3 linked regions of the Coturnix japonica genome follow. The protein of the gene in region 3 purifies or fractionates together with the protein of the main gene of each other region. This does not show direct contact. Links are inferred from orthologs where the notes say so. Each region holds a gene or a part of one and is shown on either strand. Other genes may lie near its edges.

What was found.
Region 1: the proteins of PIP4K2A (region 3) and UBE2H purify together in Homo sapiens (affinity purification with mass spectrometry; 3 studies listed by BioGRID and IntAct, with this or other methods). This does not show direct contact. The link is inferred for Coturnix japonica from reciprocal best matches to the Homo sapiens genes PIP4K2A and UBE2H.
Region 2: the proteins of PIP4K2A (region 3) and AHCYL1 purify together in Homo sapiens (co-immunoprecipitation; 3 studies listed by BioGRID and IntAct, counting the BioPlex papers as one, with this or other methods). This does not show direct contact. The link is inferred for Coturnix japonica from reciprocal best matches to the Homo sapiens genes PIP4K2A and AHCYL1.

Annotation. Positions count from the first base shown.
Region 1 is NC_029516.1:912,035-920,149, forward strand, and holds the start of UBE2H (ubiquitin-conjugating enzyme E2 H), read right to left. Parts: upstream 4,251-8,115; 5' UTR 4,236-4,250; coding exon 4,196-4,235; intron 3,036-4,195; coding exon 2,960-3,035; intron 2,463-2,959; coding exon 2,340-2,462; intron 1-2,339. UniProt on the Homo sapiens protein: Accepts ubiquitin from the E1 complex and catalyzes its covalent attachment to other proteins. E2 ubiquitin conjugating enzyme that transfers ubiquitin to MAEA, a core component of the CTLH E3 ubiquitin-protein ligase complex.
Region 2 is NC_029541.1:1,675,785-1,684,194, forward strand, and holds the start of AHCYL1 (S-adenosylhomocysteine hydrolase-like protein 1), read left to right. Parts: upstream 1-3,910; 5' UTR 3,911-4,096; coding exon 4,097-4,204; intron 4,205-6,265; exon of another isoform or gene 6,266-6,483; intron 6,484-6,571; exon of another isoform or gene 6,572-6,693; intron 6,694-8,410. UniProt on the Homo sapiens protein: Multifaceted cellular regulator which coordinates several essential cellular functions including regulation of epithelial HCO3(-) and fluid secretion, mRNA processing and DNA replication.
Region 3 is NC_029517.1:15,958,193-15,965,802, reverse strand, and holds part of PIP4K2A (phosphatidylinositol 5-phosphate 4-kinase type-2 alpha), read right to left. Parts: intron 5,239-7,610; coding exon 5,092-5,238; intron 2,337-5,091; coding exon 2,298-2,336; intron 1-2,297. UniProt on the Homo sapiens protein: Catalyzes the phosphorylation of phosphatidylinositol 5-phosphate (PtdIns5P) on the fourth hydroxyl of the myo-inositol ring, to form phosphatidylinositol 4,5-bisphosphate (PtdIns(4,5)P2). Has both ATP- and GTP-dependent kinase activities.

The sequences.
Region 1 (8,115 bases), on a different chromosome or scaffold from region 3:
GGGGATGCTTTTTGCTTCAGGTGCCCCAGGTGTGAGCTGCTCCCCCCCAGACTGGCACACACCTCCAGGAGCATTGAAATGTGGTTGTGGATGCAGCTGGATGATAAACCATCAGGTTTCTCCTCCCAGGGAAGCGTCACTGGCAACCCAGACAAGGATTCAAGGCAATAATCCGTGAGGTGAAAAGCTCCAGATCCTATTACTGTGCTCTTCCCTTCTTCTGCTTCATACGTTGTCACTGAGCAACTCCGCAAGCAAGTCTTGGCTGTGCTCTGTGGGATTCAGAACAGAAAAGGGGTGGAGAATCTCATCCCTCACCTTTAAGAGATGTACGAGGAGTTGTAGGGCAGTTGTAGGGAAACTGTAAGGCAGGAGCTGGATGCAAAGCCTCACACTTGTGGCTCATCTGCTAAATTTAGCCCCGTCTGGCAATGACCTAAAAACGGCTGATGTGGGTTTCTGTGACTCATGTGACAGCCTGGTCAGCTCCATTCAGGTCTAGTGAGAAGGACGTGAGTGCTGCAGAGCCTTTGTAGCTCCTGGGTGACTTCAGAAAGGAATGGTGAGAAGCAGTTATCAATTCCAACCCAAAAGCAGTGGCACGGATTGAGCCCAGCAGCTTCGGCTTCTGATCTGCTGATCCATCCTGCATCTTGTTGAAGAATGAAGGGACATCTCCTGCTGGAAGCTCTTTGGGAAGGAATGTAAAACCCTTCACAGCTGGCAGTGGGCTCTCCCAGCATTCAGCAGTAGATTCCCAGTTATTAGAAATAAAAGCCATAGGGGATTACAAAGCTTTCATGTCTCACAATGCTTCTTGTACCACTCAAGCCTACAGAAAGCTTCTGAGAATAAACTGGCCTAACTAACGTTGGGCTTCAGGGAGGAAGCAAAGAAAGTGACTTTGGGAGCCACTAAAAGGCAGGAAGGACAATTTAAGGGCTCACTAACCTGGATGTATTCAGAGGCTCTGAGAAAAAACAACAACCAACCAGCAATAAAACCACAAAAAAGCCCTAATGCAGCCTGCAGAATCCAGTTACACCCCAGCCAGGCTGCACAGGAAGCTCTTGCAAGCAGGCAAAATGAAGTCCAAAAAAGGAAACAACATCAAACCACGCAATACTCTTTTAGTAGAGGAGTAAAACTTTTGGTTGTGACAAGAGACATCAGGGCAGACCTAAAGCAGTTCCTCATCGATCCCTACAGCCAACTCCAGTTAAAAGCAAAAGGAAGACTAAGAAGCATAGGAAGCACTGAGACCATATGCAGAGGTGCAAGAAGTGCTTGGGATCTCCCAAGGCACCTTTGCACAAGTCTGAAATTGCTCTCTGCACAACTAACCCCCACGGAACACGTTTCTGGGTATGACTAAGCAGGCGTAACACACGGATCTTTGCTTAACCCGCAGTATTTTTCCCCCATGCATCATGCTGAAGCGCTGAAAGGTTCTCCTTTTTACAACAAAAATCACCCTGTAAAGGTGATCCTGAGCACCTCACTGTAAAGCAGCTCAAGTTTACAATAGAATCATCACAGAATGGCTTGGGTTGGAAGGGACCTCAAGGATCATGAAGCTCCAACTCCTCTGCCACAGGCAGGGTCACCAGCCTCCACATTTCATACCAGCCCAGGCTGCCCAGGGCTCCATCCAACCTGGCCTTGAACACCTCCATGGATGGATGGGGCACCCACAACCTCTCTGGGCAGCCTGTACATAATACATGTATATCTTTTTCCCCATTTGGCACGATGCAAATCTCACGACCCTGGGGAAATTCAACTGCTAATCAAAATGGGGCTTATGGGTTCACTTGCTGAAGCCATAGGGATATACTTCTTCAGGTTTGCACAACTAGAGCTGTGGGATTCCCCCTGTTCTTCTCACTGGCCTTTGGGTAAGTTAACAGAGCGTGGCTATTTGCTGGTGAACTCTTATCCTTCTTGGCCCAAACACCACGTGTATAAACTTACCTTTACCTTCTGCTCACATCAAACAAAAGAACACACGGCAGAAACAAAGAAGTAAAACATAAAACACAACCTAACGTAACTTTCTCACCAGCTACAAGCAAGCCAGAATCTGTTTTAATCCAATGCCAGGCACACGAGCTCATTAGTGCCCACAATCCTAAAAAAGCAAGCAGCAGCTCATAGCAGGACACTTCCCTGCACGGTCTGCATGGGACAGAGGAGGGTGAGCTGACACCTCGGTGCATACCTTCCCTTTCAAGGAACACAGGCTCTGGTGCTGCATTACAAGGATCTGATTTCGGACATCTCAACTCCTGTACTGCCTGTCACCGTTGTCGTGTTCTCCTTTTGGGATCTGAGCTTACCCCAATAACCGCACATGGATTCCTCTGCTTGCTGGGAGGATCGAGTTCCCCACCATGGCAGGCTGTTCAACAAAGTGCTGAGCGTTCTGCTCCCTTATTCCCACTGCTTTCCTCGTGGCTGGTCTTAAAGGGAAAAAGGAGGGAGTGCGCTGGGCAGCAACTGAAGAGCAGCCAGCATCACCGTGCTGAGTCACATCTGTTAGTCTGAACATTTGTGCCTTTGCTCCTGGAAGGGCTCTTTCATTCCTCCAGTTTACAGTCTTAAATTAGAGGATTACAAGGCAAGGCCATTCCCAAACTTCCACTGAAATCAGCTCAGGACATCACCTTTCCCAACCCCCCCCTAAGTCATGGAGATGCTTTGGGAAGCATTGCACTGCCACATCTCCCTGTACACAGGACCCCTCTGTCACAAATGACCTCAGCAGGAAAGCAGCCTGATTATTGTGAGGTTTAAAGCTTGTGCTACATGATACCATCCCTCGGTATTCGCATTCAGTTGGACTGGCTTTAAAGATTGGGGAGGGCAGGTCGGCCAGCTTGAATTAATGGCACTAGATGGGAGAAAAAACAGCTTTCATTTGGCTTCAAGCAGACAGGACACACTAAAAGAGCTTTACCTTCCACCTGCTCTGAAGTCTCCCACTAATGAAGTTTTGATTGAAGGCATCAGCCAGGAGATACCTCTCTCTGCCCCTAAAAAAGGAATCATCCCTCAAAATAAAACAGTTTGAGATCAGCTAGGACACGAGGACACATTTTGGATGGCATCTATCATTAACTCCTTCTATCGCAAACTCCACATTGATTTCATGGTTCCATTCCACCACTGTTTAAAAGCATTGCTCTTGGTGCACATCTCCCAAGTTTAATTCTGAGTTTAAAAGAAAAACACATCAAGAAACCAACCCCAAACTCAACCAACTCTCCACACACTGAAAGCCAAATCTGATTCTTTGCAAAAGAAAATGACCTGGCTCTAAGCCATTCACAGCTGAATGAGCACGACTCAAAGGAGCAGCTTTATTTGTCCTTAAAACTGAGCCTCAGCTCTTAGATCACATCCATGCCAGCCACCAAATATTAACTACACCTTGGTAGCGCTTTTCTAATCCTATTTAGATCCATAAAATTGAACTCTTTACAAAAGGTAAAGAACAATAAAAGGTTGGAAAGACCACTAAGGTCATCAAATCCAGCCATCAATCCATCACCACCACACCCACTAAGCCATGTTCCTAAACAGAATCATAGAGTCATGAATGCATTATGCTCCTGGAGGCATTCAAGGCCAGGCTGGATGGGATCCTGGGCAGCCTGATCTAGTGGTTGGCAACCCTGCCCATGGCAGTGGGGTTGGAAATAAATGATATTTTAAGGTCCCCTCCAATACAAGCCATACTATGATTTAAGTTGGAAAGACCACTAAGAGCATCCAGTCTAACCATGTCTACCTACACCCACCAAACCACATCCTTCAGTGCCACATCTACCCAGGGACACCTCAAAGAGCAACATCTCATACGAGCTTCCATCAGTCCTGGTTTATGCTCTTATCAGAGCACACACAAAAAAAGTGGGTGTCTCATTGGACATTGTCCTCAGCCCCAATGCTTCATTTCACAGCTCTAAAACACGACCAGCCCCGCCACCATCGAGACGAATCAACATAACACCAACGGCCAAGAGACACCACAGCACCGAAGTTAATAATTCATCAGCTGTTTCAACATTGCAGGTATTAGTTGACCATGCTAGAGGTCAGTCGAGGACATGGGTAACTGCTTTAGTGGCACACTTTTATGTTTTTTCCCCTTTTATATATAAAGAACAGCAGGCAGCTGAGAAAACCACACCTCCAAGGAAGTTTCTGCCCACACTCCAAGAGTCTCCCATCAAGACTTTAGGTTCCTATTCCTCCTTCTTCTTCCAGTGACTTGGAGCTATCATAGAATTAATATGGTTAGAAAATAGCTCTAGGATCTTCCAGTCCAACCATCAACCATTCACCACCATGCCCACTAAATTACGTCCTAAAAAGAATAACAGCATTGTTAAGCTTGAAAAAGACCACTGAGATCATCTTATCTGACCATCAGATCAACACCACCATGGCCCACTATCCTTGATAACAGAAAAATACCTATCCTATATATAATATCCTATAATCCTATCCTCAACCCCAATGGCTTTTAGCCCAAACCTGACTTCCCAGATTGCAGAAGCCTCTCTTGAGTGCACCCAAACTTAAGGTCACCTTTTAGTGCCACACTTTGCATGGGGGAGAATAGGCACTACTCATCCTCTCTCAGTCCCATGCATTCATGATGTGTCCCACCACCTCCTCTTACTCACCTCCATTCCAATATATCCTACCACGACGCCATCATTAGAACAGGCCCAGAGCTGTTACCTGAGCAGTTCCCTGCCAGGAACGCAGCAGTGATTTGCACATCCATAATTCACATGTTGGTTCCCCCCCCCCCCCCCCCCCCAAAACCAGCCTCCTCCATCACTGCTCAAGGCCAGGTGAAAAAACCCACTGGAATATGGAAATAATGCAAAAATTTATCTAACAATCAACTGTCAGCTTTTAACCTCCACCTTCCACTGAAGGGATGACAAATGCCTCCAGGGTTGAGCCCCCTTAAGGAGCTTCAACTGTCATCAATGCAGCCTTTGCCTAACAAAAATGTTACAACATTCATTTCTAAGGGAGCATCAGGAAGAAAACAAGTCTACACCGGCTTCTTTGCTTTCCTGCCACGATCTGCATGTGGGATATATGGATGTGTTCTGCATTTTGCAGTTTAAAAGGGATTCAAGACAACAGGATACCAACAATGCTTCACTTTGAGAACAACACAGACGTACCCTCTAAGTGATCTGAAACAGGCGATGCCAAGAACATGAGCTATGAGTGTTTGGGCTTCGCTTTGAAGGCCGCATCAATTTGCTTTAGAGATGCAGTCCAGTGATTTAAGGCCACGGGACAGTTCTTGGAAGCTGTAACAATAACGAGAACAACAAAAAATCTCAGCCCTGAATCCAGGATCAGCCCCAATTTGCAGAGAATCATTAGAGAAGACCCAAGAGGGAGTGAAATCACCTTTTTTCCAAGGACTGTAAATCCACCCTCAATCTCAGGCAGATCATTATGAGGGGGACTGGAAGATGACAGGGACTGGAGATGACGATATCACGTTTCCCTATGGGTGGCCAAAAGGACTGAGCAGGAACAGGATGGGAAAGAACCTGGCAGAACCTCAGCACGGATCTCCTTAGTGACAAATAAGCAGCTGCATGTACTTCCCTGGAACAGCCAAACAGTCCTCAAAACCACATCAGCATCGAGGAGCAATTTGAAGCATCCCAAAAAGGCAGAGAAAGAAACAGGAATGAATGGTAAGAAAAAAGCAGCAGTGAGAGGGTGGTGGTTGTGGCAGCAATAAAAGGGACTCTCGTTGCTTTGCATGGGATGCAGCAGGAGATCCAGCACTGGGGAGAAAGAATGAGATCCAGCATTTTCTGGTGGAGGGCAGCGTGCCCACAGCACTGGGTATGCAGGTTGGCTGACCTACAAGAAAGCAGAGGGGGCAAAGTCGTGTGATTCTGTACTCATGACAGCTTTGTTTGGGTGAGGAGAAACAAAAGAGCAGCGCTGTGCGTTCGTTATTCCAGAAATACACGGACAAAACCCACGGGGAAATGGAGGGAGTGAAAGGAGAAGAGCTGAGCACACACAATAAGACACACAATGAAGGTTGGACTCCTATATGCACACCCAGGTATATCAGCCACGTTCAGTATTCAAACATGGTGTTCAGCAAACTGTGCCAAAATAACATCCAGGACAGCCAAGCAGAAAATCCAGACACCTCTCTGTCTGCATCACATCACTTCTGATTTAAGCAGACAGCAGAATGGACAGCTATGGGGCTGGAAACCACCCCATACAGCAGCCCTTTAACCATGGGCACTCTCCTACCTTAACAACAACCTGTTCTGTTTATCCTGGCTGTGACTGCAATTCAATCACGCTTTAGGAAGGGCACTGAGTACCAACAGGTGCTGAGAAATGCAACCAGCAATCACTGCACACTGGGCTGCTTTCAGATCTTCCCTCCCTAATTAAGCTTGCTGTTGCCCAATTCCTGCTGCTTTAAAAATTAACAAGACGGTTTAAGGAGAAAAGTTTGTCGGGGCTCTTATTTGAAGCACTTTGGTTTTGCTTTTGCAGGAGTAAGACAGAGGGATCCACAAAGGGAAGGAGAATTGTATGTGTACTGGGGGGTGCTTATGGGTCTGCTGCAGGCATACAGCTGTCTTATACAGCTCCTGCCCCTACTAGGAGCCTTTGTGGGCATAATTATGCAGACCTTATGATCCACCCCACAAAGCAGGGGAGAGGGATTCCCATTGCCACAGCAAACCTGGAGCACTGAAGGATGAGCTGCAAGCACTGTCAAGGCAGTGCAAACCCTGCAGGCTTCCAGGTGAGCACAGAACAAGGCAAGACAGCGACGTGAAGCAAAAACTGATCCATGTTCTCCTAAAAACAAGAGGTTACAAAGAATCTGGAAAGCAAATCCTCGCAACAACAAAACATCATAACTTCAATGCCAGCACTAAGACAAACCGCAGGCTCTACTTACACAGAGATGAGGTGTGATATTGGGGCTGAGAAATGAAATCTTCTGGTTAATCCAACGTACTGGGATTTGAACAGGGCTGTAGTGCAATGCACAGCCATGCTACAAGTTGGTGCTGGTGCTGAGCACGCAGGAGGGCAATCAGAGCTTCTAAATCTTGCAGGGATGTAAGAGAAGTCGTGATGTCACTTCAAAGCAATCACCTGCTAAAGAGCCAAGTCTACCCAGAGCACAGCGTCCCTCCATAGAACAGATAAGGAAATACCAAGCTTGCCTCCTGAGGCACCATTTTGCAACACAAGGCATCAGTTTTGCTACCAAAAAAAAGAGTCGATGCAGGATTTTAAACTGTTACTACAAAGAAAACAGCCTCCGAGATTTGTTCAATCAGCATTTAGTCATCTGATATTTAAGAACTGGGTACTACAAGCACGATGAGGGCTGCTCTGCAATTCAGAGCACTGAAATCGACCCAGAAATAGTTAAAATTACCCACATGCAGAGAGATACAAAGACTTCGTGGTGCTTTCTGGTTTTAAATAAGGCTTGAAAAGCACCAAGATGATGCCCTAAAAGCTGGTATTTAGGAGCAAAGGTTTTTGCCTCTCCTCTTGTCAATATGTTGATGTTAAGCTCCAATAATGGAAGGCACAGTGACTGCTCTCCTAATAGCAGTGTGCTTTGTTTATAAGGCAGAACCTGTGCCTGCATTTCAGTGGGGCTTTGGGTCCTGAAACAGAACCATGGCAAGCTTCTATATGATTAATACGATGCCCATCCATGACTCTATGATCTTGGTGCATTCTGAAGCACCACCACCATTACCCTCATATGATCTTGGTGCATTCTGAAGCACCACCACTGTTACCCTCATCCCCTGAGATCTCATTAAAGCAAAACCCCAGAAGTAGAGCAAAAAAAAAAAAGCAGCTTTGCCATTTATGTTCCCATTTGTAAAAGTTTCCAGAACTCTCCTTAAAGGGGGAAGGGAAAAAAAAGAACAACAATAACAACAAACCCAACAGAAAACCAAGCTCTGAACCCTACCAAAACAAGACATTCCAGTGCACATGCTCTTCCCTTGGGGACAGGCCAAGAGAACAACGACACGTGATGGCCCTATT
Region 2 (8,410 bases), on a different chromosome or scaffold from region 3:
CGGCCCTAAACCCCCCGCTGGGTTTTGCCCCTCAGGGCGCTGCGGGGAGCGGAGCGATGCTCGGAGCTGGAGACACAGGAGCTGTGAGGTGAGGGGGGGGGGCAGGACCCCGATCTTTGGGTGGGGGGGGGGTCTCCCGGCTGGGCTGGGAGGGGACACGGCAGGGCTGAGTCTCAGCAGGGCGGTTCAGCAGCCCGTTCATCCATAACCGTTCTGAAGTTCGAACCCACCATAACCTCATTTCCCACCCTCTTTATCTCCCCAGCGCCCCCCGGCGGGATGTGACGCTGCTCGGTGTGGGGGGGACGGCTGTAGTGTGGCCTCCCCCCATCCAATGACCCCCCAGCCCCGTCCCGCAGCTGGAACCCGCACAACCCACGGGTGAGGATGGAAGGACGGGGCGGTGCAGCCCCCCAGGACCCTGGAGATGGGGCGGGCGGCACCATTGGGCTCCATTGGGACGGCGTTGGATGCTGCGAGTGGAACATCTCCCCCCATCCGTCCACGTTTCCCATTGCTCCTCTATGACACCCGGCACTGGGGGACCCTATGGGGGGGGGGGGGGACCCCTCCTGCATCCCACTGAGGATCCATGGGCCTGCAAAGGGGAAACCTTCACACTGTGAATATTTAAGACCCGCGGTGCCGTCCCCATCTCACAATCCCAAGCTGGACTTGGGAGCTGCTCAGCTTCAATATGGACGTGATGGATAAATCCTTTATCCAACCAATGCACTTTGGGGGGGGTTCCCCCCTCCCTGCAGGGTTATGGCTGCGAGCTGGTCTCGCCCCCAGACTGGATTTAAGTTGCTGGAGCACAGCATGGCACCATTGATTGAATGGGTTTGGGGTGCAGCCGAACCCAAACTGCATCCCAGCCCACACAGCAGCCCTCCCTTATATATCTGTTATATCCAAAGGGAACGGGACGGAGCCACGCTCAGCTTTATGGGGTTGTTTTGGAAGCATTAGGGTTTGGTTTTCTATGCGTATTTATGGACTGCCAATAAGAGGCATTAAATGGGGGGGGGTGGAAGTGGGGGCTGAGCTGGTGCTGGCTCAGCACATGGAAATGGGGGGGTTTAAGGTGGGGGGGGGGCGGCAGCTTTTGGGGCTATTTCTGCCTCTTGTCTCATTTTTTTTTGTACAGCGAAATGGTGGAAATATTTTATACAAAGTCATTTAAAGAAGGTCTATTTAAGGAAAAAGAAGAGAAGACAGCTTGTATATTTAATGTTATTAATAAAGATGGACGTGCAGCACCACCGTGTGGGAGCTGGGAATGGGGGGGGGGGGGGGCACAGTTTGGGGCTGGGGGAGGCACTTGGTCCCATAGCAGATATAGGGATGGTGGGAAATCAGTTCTCTATCTCTGCTGTCTCATTTTGGTCCCGTTTTGGGCTGTCCCTCTCCTATGGGAAAGGCTGGGGGAGGATGGTGTGTTAACCCCAGGCTGCTCTGGCCCCGAGCTGGGGCTGATCCAATGCTTATAACCCCCCCCCCTCAATGTAGTGGGGGCTGCAGGGTGAGCTCTGGGTATGGCTGGGATCAGGGCTCACCCTGATCCTGTTTTCCTGTTGATCCATACAATAGTTCACGGTCACTGGGATGCACCCGGCCTTCCTGCCACCCCCCATCCCCACACTGCCAATGGGGGGGGGGGGTGCAGGGCTGGACACCCCCCCCCCGACCCTGCAATGAATGCAGGAGGAGGCAAAGCAGCTGCTAAAAGCAAACACACTTGAGGTTCACTTCCTGCAAGCACTTCACTTGGAGAGGCAGAGCAGCACGAGGCATTTCCTTCTTATCTCCCCCCCCCCCATACCCCAGACCCCCATCCCTCTCTATGTGCTAATCCAGTTCCCTATGGGAAGGTTTGGGGGGGGTTCAGTGGGGTATGTGAGTTCTATAGGGTCACCTGCGCTGTGGTGGACGTGCAGCTCAGGGCTTTGCAGCTTTGGGGTTGTAGGATGAGCCCCCCATTGCTCGCTATGGGGGGAGCCCCATGTGGGCCCTATAGGGCCGTGTTTGCTGACAAACAGGATTCCTCGAGGGCAGCTGACTCAGCCCAGCCCTTCCTCTCCCCTGCAGCCCCGGGGGTTTCCCAGCTCCACATCCCCTTCCCAAGGAAGTGGGACCTATATATATCCGTCCGGATCTGGGCCATAGTGATTATGGTCTGTGTGTGTGTGTGGGGGGGTGATTGGGGTCAGAGGATGTTCGGGTTGTTCTGTGGGGGGGCTGGGGGCAGCGAGTCCCTGCCCTGATGGAGGGTTAAGCTGAATGATGGCTGTGGGGCAGTGGGGATGGAGGAGAGGCCATGGGGAGGGGGGGAGAAATGGGGGGAGAAGGCACGGGGAGGAGATTTTGGGGGTAAAACTGACAGTTTTGGGAGCCCTAAGGGTGGGTTGGGGGGAGCAAAAGCTCAGAGCCCATTTTTGGGAGCTTTAATGGGGGGATGGAGCCAATCCATGTTCCTACAGCAGGGAGGGGGATCATCCCTCCTAAAGGAGAGCCCCCATGGGGGGATTTTTACACCTTAAAAGCAGGTGAGGTGCCGAGATGGGGCTGAAAACCCAAAGTCTGAAGTGGGGGGGGGGAGGGATGAAGCATCAGCACTGGGGTGGCTGTGGATGGGGCACCGTCGGACCACAGCCTTCCCTATGGGGCAGCAGGGACCACAGCCCTCCCTATGGGGCCGCAGACTGCTGACGGGGCAGCGCCGTCCCGGAAAGCACCGCGGGGCCGCGGTTCCCCACTGGGGGTTATAGGGACGGAACGGAGCGATCCCGGCCACCCTGATGGGATGGAGGGTTGTGTCGAGTGAGGACCGGCCCGGGCCCGATCTGCGGTCAGACAGAGCAGTTTTGGTTAAGGGGAAAACTATGAGCTGCGATGCTGCAACGCTGCTGGCTCTGTGGGTTCATCGCTGTGGGGCTGGAGGGGGGACGAGCAATGAGGGGAGGTACATGTGTGTAACCCCATTGCTGGGTATGGGGGGGGTAAGGGTGGGAAATGGGGATCCCAAGGGGGAAGCGGAGCCATTCAGTGCTGGATGGATGGATGGATGGATGGATGGATGGATGGATGGATGGATGGATGGATGGATGGATGGACAGCAGCACCATCAGCCCGTATCAAGGAGGGACGTGGCCCTTGGGAGCACCATGGGGGGCTGAGCTGAGGGTGCTGACCCCCCCCCCCGTGCATTACAGCCCATCCCAGCCCGTCCCCACCATGATGGATGCTTGTTCCTTGGATCTGGCTGCCCCTAGAGCTGTGCTTGGGGCTGCCCTGACCCAGCGCAGAACAGAGAGCTCAGCCCTCCAGGAGGATGGAAGGGAGGTGGGTGGGGGCGAGGATTCTCTGGGTCCCTTCCAACCCAAACCATTCCATGTCTCTGTTTCTCAGTTTATTTATGACTGAATCAGATCATAGTGGGGTTAAGCTTCTTTATTCATTCTTTTATCTGTTTATTTATGCATTATGTCCTCATCCTCATCCCATCCCATCCCATCCCATCCCATCCCATCCATCCTCCATTCCAACCCATCCTCCATCCCAACCCATCCATCCTCCATCCCAACCCATCCCATCCCTTCTCACCTCATTCCCATCCATTTTCATCCCATTCCCATCCCACCCCATCCCATCCCATCCATGCCCATCCCATCCCCCGCCATCCCCATCCACCCATCCCCATCCCATCCATCCCATCCATCCCATCCCATCCCATCCCATCCCATCCCATCCCATCCCATAGTCCTCCCGTGGCGGTCCATTCCCCCCTTCCACCACTAGGTGGCGCCATGGTGCCGCTCCCGTTTCCATCCCGTCTCTTCTATCTCCCCGCCTCACTCATCCAGCGGCCGCGTGATGACGTCATCACGCACTAACGTCACTCCAGAGCCGCCCCCGGCGCCCCGCGCGGTGCCCGCAGTGTCCGCCGCATCGCGCTGCGAACCGACCGGAACCGAACGGAACCGAACGGAACCGAACGGAACCGAACGGAACCGAACGGAACCGAACGGAACCGAACCGGGGCGGCCCATCCCTCCTCCTCCCCTTGTACCCCTCCGTTCCGCCTCGAGACACGATGTCGGGCCCGGAGCCCAGCGGCGGTGAGGAGGCCAAGCAGGCCAAGGAGGCGGAGGACGCTGAGAAGTTTTCCTTTATGGCCACCGTTACCAAAGCGCCCAAGAAGGTACAACGGGATCGATAGGGGCTGGAATGGGGCCTATGGGGCTGTATGGAGCTGTATGGGGCTGTATGGGGCTGTATGGGGTCAATATGGGGCTGTATGGGGCTGTATGGGGCTGTATGGGGCTGTATGGGGCTGTATGGGGCTGTATGGGGCTGTATGGGGCTGTATGGATCTGTATGGGGCTGTATGGGGCTGTATGGATCCGTATGGGGCTGTATGGGGCTGTATGGGTCTGTATGGGGCTGTATGGGGCTGTATGGGGCCGTATGGATCTGTATGGGGCTGTATGGGGCCGTATGGATCTATATGGGGCTGTATCGGTCTGTATGGGGCTGTATGGATCGGTATGGGGCTGTATGGATCCGTATGGGGCTGTATGGATCTGTATGGGGCTGTATGGATCGGTATGGAGCCGTATGGGGCTGTATGGAGCCGTATGGGGCTATATGGATCTATATGGGGCCGTATGGGGCTGTATGGATCTGTATGTGGCTGTATGTGGCTGTATGGGGCCGTATGGTGCCCTATGGATCTGTATGGAGCCTTATGGATCTGTATGGGGCCGTATGGATCTCTATGGGGCCGTATGGGGCCGTATGGGGCTGTATGGATCTGTATGGAGACTTATGGATCTGTATGGGGCCGTATGGAGACTTATGGATCTGTATGGGGCCGTATGGAGACTTATGGATCTGTATGGGGCCGTAATGGGGAGACTTATGGATCTGTATGGGGCCGTATGGAGACTTATGGATCTGTATGGGGCCGTATGGATCTGTATGGAGCCTTATGGATCTGTATGGAGCCATATGGGGCCCTATGGATCTGTATGGAGCTATATGGGGCCGTTTGGATCTGTATGGGGCCGTATGGATCCGTATGGAGCCCTATGGAGCCCTATGGAGCCCTATGGAGCCCTATGGAGCCCTATGGGGCCATATGGGGTCGTATGGATCTGTATAGGGCCTTATGGATCTGTATGGAGCCGCATGGGGCCCTATGGATCTGTATGGGGCCGTATGGGGTCGTATGGATCTGTATAGGGCCTTATGGATTTGTATGGGGCCGTATGGTGCCATGGGGTGAGAGCTGAGTGCTGCCCCACCATGTAGGGCTGTTGTCGGGGCTTATAGGTGGGCACATCGCTGTGTGCTGGGCTCAGGGTGTCCCCATTGGGCTCAGTGCTTTGCTATGGGTCCCCGTGTGCTCATAGTGGGGACACAGCCCCCATTGGGGACCCCCCTATGGGTGGTTATGGCAGCACTGGGATGTGATGGGAGCGGAGGGTTGGAGGCTGTCGTGCCCAGCTCTGTTTATTCAGGCTTTGGATGTGGCCTGAAGGAAGGAGCGGAGGAATGTGGAGCTGGGAGCTTGTAGGGGGGGTTTGTGTTCTTATTGCTTTTGTATTTAATGGAGCTGGGCTGGTCATGGAGCTGATGGTAACAGGGTGAGGCTGTGGCTGAGCTGGGAGCAAGCAATGAATCCTGGAGCATCATACCCACGGAATAAGAAATAACCTCAGTGTATCCAGGGGGAATCCTGGTGTTCTCAGAGCTCTGTCTGTGCTCGGGTTGGTTTGGGATCCTTCCTTACCTCGCTGTGCTGCTGTGTGCATTGAATTGCGTTGCATTGCATTGCGTTGCATTGCATTGCATTGCATTGCACAGCACCAAGAGCAGCCGTCACACTGCAGCGCTGTGATGGTGGAGGTGCCCTGAGCCACGGGAGGCATTTGATGCTGATAACATCAGCGTTGCATTGAGATCCTGGGGAGCTTGCAATGCAACTGAGGTCAAGGAACAAAGCGCTCGGGGCTGCTGCTCTCCTTGCATGGCTGCTTTGTGCAAATAGGGCTCAGTTATAGGGGAAACCTTGGCAGGAGGATGAAAGGAGAAGGATGGAGAATCACCCTGCAATACAGCGCTGAGTGCCCCCAGCTCTGGGCATTTCAGATGCTTTCCAATTGCAATGGAACCATTCAAACGCCTCTTGGTTTTAATGCAAGCCAAAGCTGCTTACGGCTGCTCCGAGCGTGGCCAGCATTGAAGATGGCTGAGAGGTGGAGCTGGAGGACACAGTGTGTGCCCTGATACTGGGATGGAGCTGAGCTGTGTGAGCTGAGCTCCTCAGGGAGCAGCTTTGCCTTGTCCCAGTGCATGGGGTGGGTGTCCCCAGCTTGGAGCCCCCCCTTGAGCACAGGGGGAACACATGGGCTGCATCGGAACCCTTCAGCATCGCTCTCCTGATTTGCTTAAGGTGAAAAAGTGAAACAGCAGGAGGTAAGAGATTAAAAGATTACACGCCATCGGATTGAAGTCGGAGCTGCAGCCGTCAGAGCTGGGGGTTCCCTGCAGCAATGCGGCCGCTGCTGCTCCAGGAGCTGCTGGCGTCGCCTGCAACCTCTTGCAGCTCCTTTGCTGCTCTGCTTCCCGGGGACAAAACAGTGGGAGCCATTGGGCTGCTGGGCAGGGAGAGCTTTGCAGGCAGAGGTGAGCGATGCTGAGCCTTGTGCTTTGGTGGGGGGTGCTTTGCTTTGGGGATGGAGGAGAACAGAAGGGCAGTGCGTGCTCTCCCAGCTCCCTGGGTGCTACTTATGCTGCCTGCACCCACAGACCTGCAGCTGCCCTTGGAGCTGCATTTCCCAGCCTGTTTGCTGCAGCCCTGAGCTCCCTGCTGTGCTCTGTGTGTGTGTGTGTGTGTGTGCCCTTGAGCTGGGGGGGCTTTGCATGCCTGCTCCCTGTTTGTTACTGTGACCCTGCACGCAGCATCTCCATGCAGGCACCTTCACGCTCGGGCGCTGTTGGACAGGCAGACGCTCTCGTCCTCTGCAGACAGATCTGCTTATTCATGCACTGAAGGTGGAATGGGCTCCAGCTCAATGCTCGGTGCTGTGGCCCTGCAGTGCTGTGGGACATGGATATGGAGCTGGGGGGGGGGACCCCGAGCAGGCTGTGCTGCAGCTCTTTGCTGCTGAGCAGTGCCTGACCTTGCTGCATTCTGCTTCTGCACGGCCCCTTCCCAGTGCTGGGGTTCAGCCCTGTTGCTTTCTGCCCTCACATCTCTGCTCCTGAGCCCCCCACCCCTCTCTATATCTCATGGATAGAGCTGCCCTTGCACTGAATCAACCCCCAGAGCCGCTTGTTTTTGCTCTTCCTTTGATTCCATCCCTTAGCTTGGCTGCTCCTGAATCCTTCCTGCCTCTCTTTGCCTGTCCCCTCACTGTGGCCACCTCCTCTGCTGCTTCCCAGCCCAGATGCTGTGTGCTCAGCTGCTCCTTCCTTCCCCAACCATCTGCTCTATTATCATCTCCTACACTTTTCCCTTCCCATACCCATGTGCAATGCAGTGTGTGGGGGCGGTGGGGGTCCCCCTGCTCAGCACAGGGGCTGATTTGGCCTTTGCTGGGAGCAGGGAAGCAGCTCACACAGCTGATGGGGAGCTCTGGGGCTCCTGGCCCTGCTTGCTAACCCTGATGTGGGCATGGGAGGAGCACTGTTTTCCTTAGGCCGTTCCCCAAACACACAGCCGGGCTGGGTCCAGCCTACACCAATACTTTCTTTGGGACTCTGACAGTTTCCCCTGTGCCAGGATCCCACCCCAAAGTGGATCCTGGTCGTGCCATCCCTGCTCAGGAAGCAGCCAGGTAGTGAGCATTGCCCATAAGCAGCTGGTTCAGCCCAGGGCTTTGCAGGTGAGGACCGTGCCCTGCTCCTCGTGCAGTTGCTGAGCACCACATCCAGATTTACACTCGTTATCATTGGGAGCTGCTGTTTGCAGAGGGCTTTGCTTCTCTTCCTGCTGAGCCCATTGATCCAGGCTGCTTATCTGGGGACTCTGCCTCGTGTTGGCTTGGTGCATCACGGTGACGTTCAAGCACTGCCCATAGGGGACCTTGTGCCAATGCTTTGGCAGCACGGGGCCACCCTTTCTGTTTGACTTTAGGTTGCTTTGAGGGGCTCAGAGGGTCCCCCCCGTCACAGCAGGGCTCCCATCGCAGCAGGAGGTGTTGGCTGCCTTTGGGAGATCCCCTTGGTTGCTTGAGCTGAGCCTTTGAATTCCACTTGGGGATCAATACAGTGGCCTTGGTAACGAGCTTATTACTGCTGCACAATCTGTTTGCTTCAGGTTGGTGACGGCCAGAGAACTCCAATGGCCGGGGACATGATGTTCCAGCTGGTCAAACAGGCTGTGCTGTCATTCAGCTCC
Region 3 (7,610 bases):
ACTGCTTTTATTGCTTCAAAAACCAAACCCTCCTTGTCTGTTCATACACAAACACATCTAAGCATAAGAGCAGTTCTTTAAAAGTAGTTTATGTAAGGAAATCAATTCCTATTGCAGGAGTTCCAAATACCTACAATGAAGATACTTGTGTATTCTGACCCTTTCCAGACCAAAAAAACAGATTTCAAAATGCATACAGAAAGCATGTAATAAGCAATATATCAATTTTTCCTTGCTAGATTCTTAAAGAGCTTGTATAATGTTGTTCCCTCTATGAAGCTACCAGTCTACCCAGTTCATTCTCCTGCTTAGAAATGTTTGTTCTGAGTGGTAGTTTACCACCTCTTTGCTGAATTATGAGTAGTAAGAGTCTGTTCTAGCAGCCAAAGACTGTCTGCATACAGCTCAATACACTTCATGTAGTTCTGTCTCTGAGAAATCAAATGCATTTGAAAAGACTACAATGTGTGAAACTTAGAAGATTGGAAGGAGAATCTTGGGGAGCAATTTTTACATAGCTTTCATATAAATACACAAAATGAAAGGGGAGGCTCCAGACATACAGAAGTTCATAGGAATTTTATCATTGGTCTTGCTGAAGTTAAAATTTCATGTTTTATACATGGAGAATAAGTTTTCTATATAGTTATACAGCCTTGTTACAGATCAACTATAATCAATTTCAATAGCAATTTTGCCATGGACTTGTCTGAGAACTAATCACTAATTTAGTGATTTTTTTAGGTTTGCACTAATTATATAGTAATTAGATATATAGTTAATAGCTATATATAATCAGTATATCATGATTTATCTATTATTATTTTGAGACATATTCCTAAAACTCCTCGAAACATAAGCACCAAATATCTGCATAGTATCATCTCTTTCAGAGCTAAACGTGTAGTATTAATAAAACATACTATTATTCCAAGCATTACTATTGTAATAGTACTGAAGCAGTCACATCCAAGTAATTTGTGCTCCTCATTTCTATCGGATAATTTCAGCACTACCAGCAGAGGCTTTCAGTGACACTGGATATCACTTGCAAGAAACCTGAAGAGTTAACATCCATGTTCTAAAAGCACTAGAGCTGTGCTACTAAACAGACTGCAAGAAAAGAATGAAGACCATTCAAGAAATGATCTTAAGGGCCCAAAACAGAAAAAGAAAAGCTAATGCAGATTACTGCAATGGTAAGTGACATCTGTGACATCTTAGCTGCACACCACTGGAAGAATTTTAAGTGCTCAGCCATGCCTTAAGAAGAAGTGGAAAAACTCAGCACATAGAGTTTTTCTTGCAGCTGGAAATGCATCGCTGGCAGCTATTTTACGCCCCTTACCGCGGCTGTGTGATTCACAGAAGAGTTAAAGAGGCTGGTATGGTATGATTAATGCTTAGGATAAAAACAAGTGATAGGAATGGAATTTGGGGACAAAACAAAATGAAGTCTTTTAAGCAAACTGCTGAATGATCTTATGCAACAGCGTAATTCAGAAGAATTATGGGAAACTTAGGAAAACTAGTGTCACAAGTTCCTAGACCATTCAAAATTTGGAGATCTAAGAAGTCTTACAGAATGGAGACTATGTCCCGCTGTCAGTTATCTGCAGAATCTTCAGACAAACCTTAAGTGCCACTGAATTTCACTGGAACCTCACAGAACAATTTGAGAATGTTCAGTTTTCCAAATGAACACAAGTTGCAGATGGAGACAAACAAAGTGACCAACTTGCTTTAAGAGCAAAGTTCCATCTATAGAATTTGAAGGAGGCTGCTCACTCTCATTACATCTATGTATGTCCATGCCTGTCAGCTGTCGCCTCGTTTGAACAACCTTTACATAACCAATGGTTATCATAATTCAAGGTTTGATTCACTTTTACATTTACAATAGAGTAGCGCCCCATCACATAGTTCCATAAATCTGTATCTATAAATCTTTATATTAAAGAGCAAGAAAAAGAAGATGAAGAAGCAGGAAGAGAATGAAGTTCCTGATGTTTTCCTACAACAGGGCAGGCCCTGAAGAAACTAAGAAGAGAAGAGAAAAAAGGAAAAGGAGGAGGCAGACGAGTGGCTCACTTACCTCTGGACTTTCAACACCAATGCAAACCAACAGTCAAAGGTCTGCAGTAAATAGAGGAAAGATAAAGGACGGAATAAGGTAGAACTCAAGAGGGAGAATATGACAGAAAACAAAGAAAGGGGGCAGAACAGCACTGATTATGCTTGTCCTGACACTAGCTAGCAGTTTAGATAACTGAAAAGTAAACAGAAATGCACCATACCTTTTCTTTGTCACTGGCTTCTCGAGCCACAGTAGAGCCCTGAAACAGAAAAAATGGATCTAAAAATGTGCATATGTCAGAAACTAATTTGAAAACTTTACGATAACAGGTCAAAAAGTGGATGAACTGCATCCTTCCGAAATTAAGAAGGTGATACAGGAGGTAGAATGTCTTAAAACTTCTGCCATAACTTGAAGAAGATGTATCATGTGAGAAGAAGGATGGATTAAATCCTCAAACGCTCTCTATCTATTGCCTCTATGACTGATGGGGGTTGCTTCCTCATGTCTCATCCTAATTCTGAGACAACCTTGGAAGTTCAGTTGGCTTGGCAGACTTCTGACCTGTCTGTGACAATTTAGATGTACAGCCTACTTGTCCCACAGTACCCTTGTGGGACAGCCTACTCTATATAACTTGGGCACACGTAATACACATTTTAAAAGGATGTCACACAACATAAGACACACAAATCTATTTTAAAAAGATCACAAAGTACAAACAAGAACAATGTACCTCACAGCAGCACAAAGTCAAAAGAAGAGATGAGATCAACAGTGGATCCAAAAGATTTACAGCGTTTGCCAATGGCACAGTGGATATTTTAAGATACTTCATTTTTAAACAACTGGAACTAGTACATAATGTGGCACTTTCTGAATAAGCTGGAGGTGGCAAAAAAAGGGCTGTACATATTTCTTAACAAATTTCTTGATGCAGGACCCTATGCCTTTAAGTACCCAGAGTTTATCAGGTAACAGCACTGCAATAAATAGCACCCATAATTACACCTTCATTACAATAACGTGGTAAGCACTGGATATTGAAAGACTGGGACATCAACTCTCTCTTGTTGGAAGGGTAAAGAAGTACTCGAGAGGGTTTACACTAGTTTAAAGAATGTGAGGATTCACAACCACACATTTTTATATCATATTTTGTTGTTTGCAGAGAAAACGTAGAAAGAACAAAGAGAAAAGACAAATGGACAGCAGACCCTCAGTATTATGTATAGTCCAGCAAGCAGAAATTTCATTTCAGTATATCTTTAGCTGATAAAGAATTTCAACAAAAGTCTACAATATTTTAGTTTACTGAATTACTTATAGTGTATTCTTTGCTCTACCACCCTCCAGGACTATTGGGTCTGGACAACGATCAGCAGAAAACCAAATGAGGAAAAAAACATTTGCAATAGTAAAAAATTTGGAGGTTGAGAAATTTATCACTGAAGTAATCTTTTTCTTAAGTCTCGGTGGACAGGAAAATAACTTTGAAATCCTACGTTGATCTGTAGTGGAGACTTTTGTCTAAGCTGGTGTCAGAAATACCCACAAAAAAGGAGTCTGAACCTGTAACTGCAGATGCTGTATCAATGAAATGAAGAAAAAAACACCTATTTATAATCCTTGCAGTGTCGTTACAAATATGCTGGGGGGAGGTAATTTTCAGTAATAATATGACATTGATGCTGAATTTAAATTGCCAGGGAAGTTTATCTTTAAGGCAATTTTGCCTATCTGGACAAACCAAACAGTATACAGAAGTATTCACAGAGGTAAGCAGCAGCAAGTGCAGTGCTGCTTAGATCAACAGTAAGAATGTATTATACGCAATTTGATTTTTGCTGTTGTACTTCTGTCCCTCTTTTAATGCGTATGGTCATTATGATGCTCTAAAACACAAGTAGTTCTCTCTAATTTTTGGAAGTTACTCATTACCCATTCAGGTATGGGATTGGTCACTCATTCTTAGTGGCACTTCCGGAGAAAATACTCTAAAAAAAGGCAGCCTATGGTTGAATAGTTGCTTTCTGCCCCTCCACTAGTCACATCATGCATCAACTGGGTTATTTCAAATGAAAAGCAGCTTAACTCTGAGAGGGTAAATTCAAAGAAGAGCAAAAACAGAATTAGAAACATCTTCTTTCTGTAAGCTCTGGCAAATACTGAAAACTATTAAGTCAACAATCAGGAAATCAGTTCTCACATCAGGTTCAGTTTCTAGCTAAAAAACTAGGAATGGCTGCTGCAATATGTAGCATTACAAACCTCTTAATAAGAGCTAAATAAATATCTTAAAATAAGTATGCAGATGCACGTAGTGATTCAACACAGAAGTTAAATGCATTAGAATGAATAGGTTTCTAAGGGAGATTTTATGGAGGAAATAAAAACAATCCCTTATGTAGAAAGACTATGAATGTATTTCAAGCCTTTATTCTAAGTGCTGAACATTAAATATCAGCCAAATTACATTTTAGAACAAAACTAAAACACACCTTATGATAAAAACAAAAGAAATTCTGCATTTTAAGAGCAATTCTCTTCTTTCTCAGAGCTATTTTTAAAATGCAGTAGGAAATATGAAGCTTCTGTAGAAGCGATGTACTTTATAGTAGCATTTTATTGGTTTAAATAATGACCTCATGAAGTCATTTTATCTAAGTCCTCTGGACAGTCAGCTGCGGCCTTCCACAATGTTGAGAAAAGCCTACAGTGAGCAGAATTCTTATCTTACTTGTGTGATGTGTTTCACCCTTAGCCATTAGTTATACATAACAAGTATCTTTGGTAAAATCACTCAATTTAAAACATTCACAATACAGATAAATCTGTAGTCCAGCTTTGCCAAGCTTAGATGCAGAAGTACACCAGCTAATCATGATTACTACACAGCTCAGGTTTAAATTCATTAAAACTTTGAGCAATCTTCAATCAACAGCAGAATCTAGCATTTATATTGAAGATTTTCAGCTACTTTTTCAGTTGTTTCATCTGCAGTTATTTCTCACCTTTAAATCATATTTTCTATACACAGATAAACGATGGCTGAACACATTCCTTGTAACAATCATATATATTTCAACTCCATCGACAGTGAGCCGGTACATGCCCAAGAACTGGGGGAGAAGCGTGTTCCCATGACACTCCACAATAAACTGCAGAAGCAAAAGAAAAAACAAGAATGAGGATGGATATACAGGATATAAATATGTATTTACACATCTTAAAAGACGAAACAACCAGAAACAACTGGTTTATCAATCTGTTTATCAAACATATATTTGGGTGGAGACAAAGCCCTGCATTCAGGTCAATGTTTAAAAAATAGAACTGTCAGCTGCTTAACTTGTCACTTCTACAGACGATGTCACTGTGAGAGCTGGCTCTGTGTGACAGACCAGCCCCCTGTTGTGGTCCAAAAGCGCACCTCATGCATATTTGGTACTGGCATAAAATAACAAACAGAAACAGTTTTCCAAACATCACACTACTGTATTTTATACTCTGTTATCCCTTATTTCATCTGTTCCTCCACTCTCAATGTGGATAAGTGTCAACCACTTATGGCGCTGTCACCAGCAACAGGTATTATTTGCTACCAACTGTGCCCCAGCACTTTGCTGCTCAGAGCTGAGCAATGACATACAAGGACCTTTCTTCAATTTCAGATTAATTTCATTTCCCTAAGGACGCACCCTAAAAACAACCCTCTGGCAAGAACCAAAGTGAACAAAGCTTGAAACTACTGGCTGTGAATAGAATAAAGTTTAGACTAACAACTTGGACACACCTGCAATTCAGGCTTTAACAGTTTAGGTTATAGCAACATTTTCTGTCTGCCTAACAGCTTTATTGGAGGTTACAACCCATATATAAGCCACAGATGCTGCAGTCTAGCACTGTAAGCTCACACCCCCAAATGCAAAGGAGCCTGATGGCCACAAAGGCAATTTCAGTACTAAGTCCATGAAGATCATCCTGCATCTGAGAACATTTCTGTTTTTAACAATTGGTGAAGTAGAGTTGTTGAATTAAAGGCTTTCTGACCACAGGACTGCGTACTGGATACACAGCTCATTTTGCCCACCAGTAATTCCTTCTGAAGATCTGATCATAAAGAGAAATTACAACACTTAATGTGAAGGTTACAGAAAACGTATTTAAAACAGTAATCCCTGTTATTCAGGCTGCACTGCTTACAAGGTTATAAATATCAAGCATTTGGCACGTATCCTAAAGGCTGATGTCTTTCTAACGTTTTAGAAGGTGCTAAAGGTTGTTCTCATAACAACATTCATTGAATGATTTCTTCTATACAATGATTAGTTTCTGTAATGATGATAAAACAAATCCACCACAGTCACCTCAAGGTGCTTTTTAGGAATGGTTTCCTAAAGTTTCCCAGTCACAGCTGGAATAAAAGTGAGGCTAGAAAATAAGCTGGTACATGCTTAACGGGACCGCTAAATTTCAGTGGAAGAAAAGACTTCCAGTCCTTTATGTTAATTCCTTCTAAAAAGAGCATTAAAATAATTCTATCAAGCAGCCTTGCTAAATAAACCTGTAACACTTCGCTAATGCATTTACAGGTCCTTATACAAAGTAACAAAATCCATTTTTAAAGAGTGCTAAAATAAACACCCTATCATTTTTTCTTATTAATTCCGCCAATTTTCATTTTTCTGCACAGCATGAGGACAATATTACCATTAACAAAATAAAGTATCGTCAGCATGTTGACACATTCTATCAGCCGAGCAGCACAGTTTTCAAATATGCAATTTTCTGAGCAATCCTGAACCCCATGCTTAAAGCTGAAAATAAGAAATTCTTTATGACCTTTTATTCTCATTATTCTTTGTATAAATATGGCCTCAAGATTCCTTAATAAGAACAAAACCTACACTATCTCATTTTACATGAAAAATATGACTCTTAGCTTCCTCTTCTTGGTAATGTTAGTAAGCCATCGGGGTGACTATAAGATAACAAAGTGCATACAACTGTATTGGTAAATATTCTCTGCCATTTCTGGCTAGTTTTGAAGAAACACAGGGTAAAATTCCCCTGTTTTTGCATTTAGCTTTTCTCCTAGAAGATAATTTGTGGAATGAGTTTAACATTAATGAAGACTAGTTCCTCCAAGTGCAACATAATCTGAACATGATCACTGGATGTGATTATCTAGGCTGTTTATCTGCTACCAGGAACATCATTCTCGATAATGCTATGATCAGATGAGTCATTGGGCTTCCCGTGTCTTCTGGAATTGCCCCGAACATCATCAGTGGCAGAATTATAGATATACTAAATATGTAAGAAGTAGTTGCTGGTGAAATCTAGGCCTCAATACTGCAGCCAAATTCATTTTGCCATTCTGTGTAGTTAAATATCTAGCTAATGAAATTTCTCATCATTCCATGAAGTTTTTCAACACGTTTTCCAGTAACAATTCCAGTCCATGGTGGTCTGTCCCACTTGCACAGGTTAAATTCCATCTAATACCCATGTTAACCAATTTTCATCT